2 linked regions of the Xenopus tropicalis genome follow. The protein of the gene in region 2 purifies or fractionates together with the protein of the main gene of each other region. This does not show direct contact. Links are inferred from orthologs where the notes say so. Each region holds a gene or a part of one and is shown on either strand. Other genes may lie near its edges.

Region 1 (3,653 bases), on a different chromosome or scaffold from region 2:
CTGTTTCTCCCGTCCTCTCTTCCCAGCTCCCTTCTTAGAAAATTTACTGTCCTCTCTGTTGGCCTCATCCTCCTTTCCATTGTCCTTATTGTCTACTTTGCCACCACATCTCAATATTCCTTTTTTGTGTGTACCTGGTGGACAATGAAGCTCACAGAAAGCAGTTTTACGTACTGTGAACGTGGTGCCATTTAAACCAGTCTCTCTAACAGGTTCTACCTTCATAAAAAGACCTGCTCTCTGGGCACATGTCACATGAAAAGCTGTATAACAGTTCACTTTGTGGCACTGGATGGCTGCCCCACGCCCTTTTTGTTTGCAAAGGTAACAAGTCAACTTCCACCGAGCAGATGGAATGTTGTTAACCCCTTCTACTGGCTCTAAGAACACTGTGTTAGCAAAGCAAACTTCTGGAATCCAAATAGCACAAACCACATGTGCCCATCGCCCATCACTAGTCTGCTTAAAAGCTCCACCTTGGTTGGGGCAAAGCACACAACTTACAGGTTTTGATGGTGACTGAAGGCAGCATCGGCAAAGCCACTGCCCTTCAGGAATGTATGGTACACCATAACATTCCTGGTGAACAGCCAAGTTGCAGATATCGCAAAATAATATGGCATTGCTATTGTGGCACTCATCATCTAAACAAACACAACAAAATGCATCTTCATCAATAGCAGACTGTGGTGCACCGCTGCGACGACTTTGCATATAGGACTCTTTCTCCAACCTATCTAACAGAAGTTCAAAGACATCAGCTGACACCAGAGATAATCCGTCATTCTTCCGCTTTTCATTGATCATTTCCAGCCAGGCCAGATCTACTTCATCAAGGTCATATTCAACTTCCTGGTCCATCTCTTTTGTTGAACGTTCAATATAACAATAGAAGCTATCAGGTAAAGAATATGGTTCACTTTCAACTTCCAGACTAAAAGGCTCAATAACTCTAAAACATGGCTGGGGAAGCTGGAGGGAAGAGGTGGTTTGAGCTTGCTTAGGGCATAGCTCGTGCTTTTTGCTTTTAAAGGCCATCTTTCGACATGGGGAAGCAAGAGGCAGTTCACTGTTCTCTTTGTTGCTGTTGCATTCTATAATATCATGCGCAGTTAGCTCATCCTCCGAGACAATTCTTAAAGGATCATATATACTAATTCGGTGAAGACGCCCTTCCATCTCAACTTCCACCATGCGTTGTGCTTGAGCATATGTTAATGTCTCTCGAGTTGGAGAGCATTTCAGACTGTAGGGGGAAGGTGATCCTTTGCCTCCACCACCACAGTGACGAAATTTACGACGCGGGTTTCTCATGTCAGTGGAAGGCAATACCTATGAAAGAAGTCAGGTTAGAATAGAGAGAAGATAAGAGAAACAAACATGCAGTTACATAGTTACATAGTTACATAGGGTTGAAAAAAGACCAGTGTCCATCAAGTTCAACCCATCCAAGTAAACCCAGCACACTTAACCCACACCTACCAATCTATACACTCACATACATACACTATATATACAACCACTAGTACTAACTGTAGATATTAGTATCACAATAGCCTTGGATATTCTGATTGATCAAGAACTCATCCAGGCCCCTCTTAAAGGCATTAACAGAATCTGCCATTACCACATCACTAGGAAGGGCATTCCATAACCTCACTGCCCTCACCGTGAAAAACCACCTACGCTGCTTCAAATGGAAGCTCCTTTCCTCTAATCTAAAGGGGTGACCTCTGGTGCGCTGATTGTTTTTATGGGAAAAGAGAACATCCCCCAACTGCCTATAATCCCCTCTAATGTACTTGTACAGAGTAATCATGTCCCCTCGCAAGCGCCTCTTTTCCAGAGAGAACAACCCCAACCTCGACAGTCTCACCTCATAGTTTAAATCTTCCATCCCCTTAACCAGTTTAGTTGCACGTCTCTGCACTTTCTCCAGCTCATTAATATCCTTCTTAAGGACTGGAGCCCAAAACTGCACTGCATACTCAAGGTGAGGCCTTACCAGGGACCTATAAAGGGGCAAAATTATGTTCTCATCCCTTGAGTCAATGCCCTTTTTTATACAAGACAGCACTTTATTTGCTTTAGTAGCCACAGAATGACACTGCCTGGCATTAGACAACTTGTTATCAACAAAAACCCCTAGATCCTTCTCCATTAAGGAAACCCCCAACACACTGCCATTCAGTAGATAGTTTGCGTTTATATTATTTCTACCAAAGTGCATAACTTTGCACTTATCAACATTGAACCTCATTTTCCAGTTTGCTGCCCAGTTATCTAATTTTGTCAAATCGCTCTGCAAAGCGGCAGCATCCTGCATGGAACTTATAGTTTTGCACAATTTAGTGTCATCAGCAAAAATAGAAACAGTACTGTCTATGCCCACCTCCAGGTCATTAATAAACAAGTTAAAAAGCAAAGGCCCAAGGACTGACCCCTGCGGTACTCCACTAACCACACTGGCCCAATTAGAAAATGTTCCATTTACAACCACTCTTTGTACTCTATCCTTCAGCCAGTTCTCTATCCAATTACAAATATTATGTTCTAGGCCAATATTCCTTAATTTGATAATTAACCTTCTGTGAGGTACTGTATCAAACGCTTTAGCAAAGTCCAAGTAGATGACATCAACTGCCATTCCAGCATCAAGGTTCCTGCTCACCTCCTCATAAAAGGCGACTAAATTAGTCTGGCAAGATCTGTTACGCATAAAACCATGCTGGCACAAACTAATAGTATTGTGAACTGCAATGTATTCAAGTACCCTATCCCTTATTACCCCTTCCAAAAGTTTTCCTACTACTGATGTCAGACTAACAGGCCTATAGTTTTCAGGCTGAGAACGGGATCCCTTTTTAAATAACGGCACCACATTAGCAATCCGCCAGTCTCTTGGCACCATGCCAGACCTCAATGAATCCTGAAAAATTAAGTGAGTAGCATAATACAGCTAAAGGTGAGAAAAAAAAAAAAGAATAAAAAAACTCGGCCCTTATGCAGGAAATAGATTAGGTATGGATAAATATATTACCATAAAAACATTTTCTACATGGAGTTTTCCCTCTTTGTGTTCATCTTATAAAGTATACGTATCAACAAAACAGATAAACTAAAAGTTCTAAACATATGTACAGATATACATGTAGGTGGGCCAAAACAGTTTAACACAGATACCATAATCAACAAACACAGCCCTGAGACAGGTGCTAAGTCTGGAACATCCATAGTAGGTGTTTCGGCACAAACAGTAACCTTGTTCATAAACAAATACTTTCAGAATCATGATACAAATTTTAAATATCTACTGTAGCAACAACTGAGACTAAAATAACTTGAAGTTCACTTCTACATTAAAGGGATTCTGTCAAGATAAAACAAAATTAATCAGTTAACAGCGCTTCTCTAACATAATCCTGCACTGAAATCAATTTTTCAAAAGAGCAAACAGATTTTTTTGTATTCAAGTTTTAAATTTGACGTGGGGCTTGATATATTCTTAGTTTCCCAGGTGCCCTTAGTCATATAACTAGTGCTCTGATAAACTTCAGTCACTGTTTACTGTTGCACTGTAAGTTTGAGTGGTGTCACCCCACCCCCCCTTCCCATTTGGCCCCAGCAGCCTATCAACAGATCAATGATAAAGT
Region 2 (4,396 bases):
GAATACAGGGGTATGGGAGATAGCTCTCAGTACAAGTGAGGGAATACAGGGGTAGGGGGGATAGCTCTCAGTACAAGTGAGGGAATACAGGTGTAGGGGAGATAGCTCTCAGTACAAGTGAGGGAATACAGGTGTAGGGGAGATAGCTCTCAGTACAAGTGAGGGAATACAGGGGTAGGGGAGATAGCTCTCAGTACAAGTGAGGGAATACAGGGTTAGGGGGGATAGCTCTCAGTACAAGTGAGGGAATACAGGGGTAGGGGAGATAGCTCTCAGTACAAGTGAGGGAATACAGGTGTAGGGGAGATAGCTCTCAGTACAAGTGAGGGAATACAGGGTTAGGGGGGATAGCTCTCAGTACAAGTGAGGGAATACAGGGTTAGGGGGGATAGCTCTCAGTACAAGTGAGGGAATACAGGGTTAGGGGGGATAGCTCTCAGTACAAGTGAGGGAATACAGGGGTAGGGGGGATAGCTCTCAGTACAAGTGAGGGAATACAGGTGTAGGGGAGATAGCTCTCAGTACAAGTGAGGGAATACAGGGTTAGGGGGGATAGCTCTCAGTACAAGTGAGGGAATACAGGGGTAGGGGGGATAGCTCTCAGTACAAGTGAGGGAATACAGGGTTAGGGGGGATAGCTCTCAGTACAAGTGAGGGAATACAGGATTATGGGAGATAGCTCTCAGTACAAGTGAGGGAATACAGGGTTAGGGGGGATAGCTCTCAGTACAAGTGAGGGAATACAGGGTTAGGGGGGATAGCTCTCAGTACAAGTGAGGGAATACAGGATTATGGGAGATAGCTCTCAGTACAAGTGAGGGAATACAGGGGTAGGGGAGATAGCTCTCAGTACAAGTGAGGGAATACAGGGGTAGGGGGGATAGCTCTCAGTACAAGTGAGGGAATACAGGGGTAGGGGGGATAGCTCTCAGTACAAGTGAGGGAATACAGGGGTAGGGGAGATAGCTCTCAGTACAAGTGAGTGAATACAGGGGTAAGGGAGATAGCTCTCAGTACAAGTGAGGGAATACAGGGGTAGGGGAGATAGCTCTCAGTACAAGTGAGGGAATACAGGGGTAGGGGAGATAGCTCTCAGTACAAGTGAGGGAATACAGGGGTAGGGGAGATAGCTCTCAGTACAAGTGAGGGAATACAGGGGTAGGGGAGATAGCTCTCGGTACAAGTGAGGGAATACAGGGGTAGGGGAGATAGCTCTCAGTACAAGTGAGGGAATACAGGGGTAGGGGAGATAGCTCTCGGTACAAGTGAGGGAATACAGGGGTAGGGGAGATAGCTCTCAGTACAAGTGAGGGAATACAGGATTATGGGAGATAGCGCTCAGTACAAGTGAGGGAATACAGGATTATGGGAGATAGCGCTCAGTACAAGTGAGGGAATACAGGGGTAGGGGAGATAGCTCTCAGTACAAGTGAGTGAATACAGGGGTAAGGGAGATAGCTCTCAGTACAAGTGAGGGAATACAGGGGTAGGGGAGATAGCTCTCAGTACAAGTGAGGGAATACAGGGGTAGGGGAGATAGCTCTCAGTACAAGTGAGGGAATACAGGGGTAGGGGAGATAGCTCTCGGTACAAGTGAGGGAATACAGGGGTAGGGGAGATAGCTCTCAGTACAAGTGAGGGAATACAGGGGTAAGGGAGATAGCTCTCAGTACAAGTGAGGGAAAACAGGGGTAGGGGAGATAGCTCTCAGTACAAGTGAGTGAATACAGGGGTAAGGGAGATAGCTCTCAGTACAAGTGAGGGAATACAGGGGTAGGGGAGATAGCTCTCAGTACAAGTGAGGGAATACAGGGGTAGGGGAGATAGCTCTCAGTACAAGTGAGTGAATACAGGGGTAAGGGAGATAGCTCTCAGTACAAGTGAGGGAAAACAGGGGTATGGGAGATAGCTCTCAGTACAAGTGAGGGAATACAGGGGTAGGGGGATAGCTCTCAGTACAAGTGAGGGAATACAGGGGTAGGGGAGATAGCTCTCAGTACAAGTGAGGGAATACAGGGTTATGGGAGATAGCTGTTAGTACAAGTTGATCCAGGGACTGGTCCGATTGCCATCTTGGAGTCAGGAAGGAATTTTTTCCCCTCTGCGGCAAATTAGAGAGGCTTCAGATGGGGTTTTTGCCTTCCTCTGGATCAACTAGTAGTTAGGCAGGTTATATATAGGCATTATGGTTGAATGTGATGGACGTATGTCTTTTTTTCAACCCAACTTACTATGTTACTATGTTACTAAGGGTAATGGTGTCACCTGTGTGAAATTACCTTTTCAGTAGGGATATGCCATTAATTATAAACATTGGATTAGCCCTGTGCCTGCGGAGGCATGAATTCTATTGCTCAAACATGCTCAATGCAAGGGATTTTCAGTATTTTATCACAGCCACTTGCTAAAAGCATTCTCCATATATCTCAGAGTATTCTGTATCTCAGCGAATATGAGGCATGCAGATGTATTAAAGCGATAGTTCACCCTTGCATTAACTATTAGCTGATAAAACCCTATTCTTTTTAAAATGGTCATTAACCCCAGCAAGAAGTTGTATTCTACGTATCTTTCTATCCATGCCTCAAGTCCCTGGTTCGTAAGGCAAATGGGAACCTAACCACATAGCTGCCCGTTTCCAAAATGGAGAGCAACAGAAAAATGAAAATGATTTCTCTGTGAAATAAATTATACTCAGATGTACTTGTACGGGAATATACACCTGTAACACTCCATGTTATACAAACAGCTGAAGCAAAACACTGAATGTACCTCAATTAGGTTTCCATGCTTTCCAACACTGCTTCCTTACTTCCTTTGTTTATACCACGCCCTTAATTATCGGCAGCCTATAGAAAACCTTGCAGTGATCGCACAAACCAATCCAACGACGGACTATAGCGGCACCGACAGGAACAACATACTACAATAGCGACTGCTATTAAACCACCTCAACCAATCAGTAACGAGAGGAAGGCGGGACCAGCAAGTAATTGGCGCGCATGAGAATCAATGAGGCGCCAGTCCTGACAGACATAAACTGCGTCCAATCCACAGCTGCACAGAGCACATTTCAGCCAACCACAACATAAGATGGAACGCAAGTATCCAATCGCCGCCTCTCACGAGTTAACCCACAACAGGCCTTGGTTTGACTGTATCTCTCACATGGAGGCTGCTGCAGGCAAAGCAAAAATAGCGCCGTATGCTCTGCACAATAGCCAGTGCCTACACGCAGCATTCTTCCAGTGCAGTGTCCAGAAGAGGCCCACGCCACACCAGGGGCACACGCCCACCCCCATACGCAGCTTCCATTTTCCTATCCCATGCATCTCACCTTCCTCCGGGGCATCGCTTGGCGCTCCCCCCTTCTCCCTTTGATCCCGCCCAGCACAACCGAATTCGCGGTTGGCGCAGAACGGGCTTTTTCTTGCGCCGTCTCCGGGTAACGGCAGAATGACGCGCAGGCGCGGCCCCTCCCCTTGAGTCAGGTTTCTCGCCCTGTGCATCGCGTACGCACCCGGAGCCCCTCCTCCTCACCTCTCACTCGCTATTGTCTCTCCGTGGGAATAGCCCCGCGCATGCGCAGAACATGGATCTGCTCAGCCCGTTATACCAAAAGGCAGTCAACTGGCTCCTTGTGTATCCATGCGCATATATCTGCCGGAACTATATGTTCTTATATCGCAATATTATTGTATAGTTGGTGTCTTTTCCAGCCATTGATTCACAGAACCCTGCAGTCATAACTTAGAGCAAGAGAGGGGCAGGGCAAACTGAATTCCTGTGGGAACAATGTTGTTTATCCCTGGGATAGCACGTTGGAGATGATAATAACTACAATCTCTAGCATATTGGCTGCCAATATGGAAGCTCACTCGCAGAAGCCTATATTATCTTTAAAGTGAAATAATCATGTTTTCTTTCTTATTAATAATAAAAAATAATGACAACTTCTGGTATTTCTTAGTAAAATATTACAAGGCAATAGGTACTCTTGGCTCAAGGCAACAAGCACCATAGTGCCTCAGAAAAAAGCTCCTTGGCAACTGTCGCCAGTGTAACGGTGTGGTTTTACCCAACACACTTTCTTCTTTGCAAGTTTTAGAGTGGTTGTACCATGGTGCCTGGGCAATTGCTGCATAACATGTCCCCATTATAACTGTTTTTTTTTTTATTTTTTATCCCGAGGTCAATGCTTTCTGTTCCTAAGTGCAAAATCACATGTGCACAAAGGGTGCAAACTAGCCAGTCCTAAAATGGACAAGGCCACCATACTCGATTCCCACAGGCCAAAAGGCTCAGGTGAAAAAACGAGTCTTCGAGTCCTCCTTTGCTGGGGGGGGGGCTTAATCCCTGACCAAAAGGCTCCAAAGGGCAAGGGTCTTCGAACTCT

The links.
Region 1: the proteins of kat7 (region 2) and brpf3 purify together in Homo sapiens (affinity purification with mass spectrometry; 3 studies listed by BioGRID and IntAct, counting the BioPlex papers as one, with this or other methods). This does not show direct contact. The link is inferred for Xenopus tropicalis from reciprocal best matches to the Homo sapiens genes KAT7 and BRPF3.

Annotation. Positions count from the first base shown.
Region 1 is NC_030678.2:65,005,933-65,009,585, reverse strand, and holds part of brpf3 (bromodomain and PHD finger-containing protein 3), read right to left. Parts: intron 1,333-3,653; coding exon of another isoform or gene 1,315-1,332; coding exon 1-1,314. UniProt on the Homo sapiens protein: Scaffold subunit of various histone acetyltransferase (HAT) complexes, such as the MOZ/MORF and HBO1 complexes, which have a histone H3 acetyltransferase activity.
Region 2 is NC_030686.2:14,504,459-14,508,854, reverse strand, and holds the start of kat7 (histone acetyltransferase KAT7), read right to left. Parts: upstream 2,889-4,396; 5' UTR 2,773-2,888; intron 1-2,772. UniProt on the Homo sapiens protein: Catalytic subunit of histone acetyltransferase HBO1 complexes, which specifically mediate acetylation of histone H3 at 'Lys-14' (H3K14ac), thereby regulating various processes, such as gene transcription, protein ubiquitination, immune regulation, stem cell pluripotent and self-renewal maintenance and embryonic development.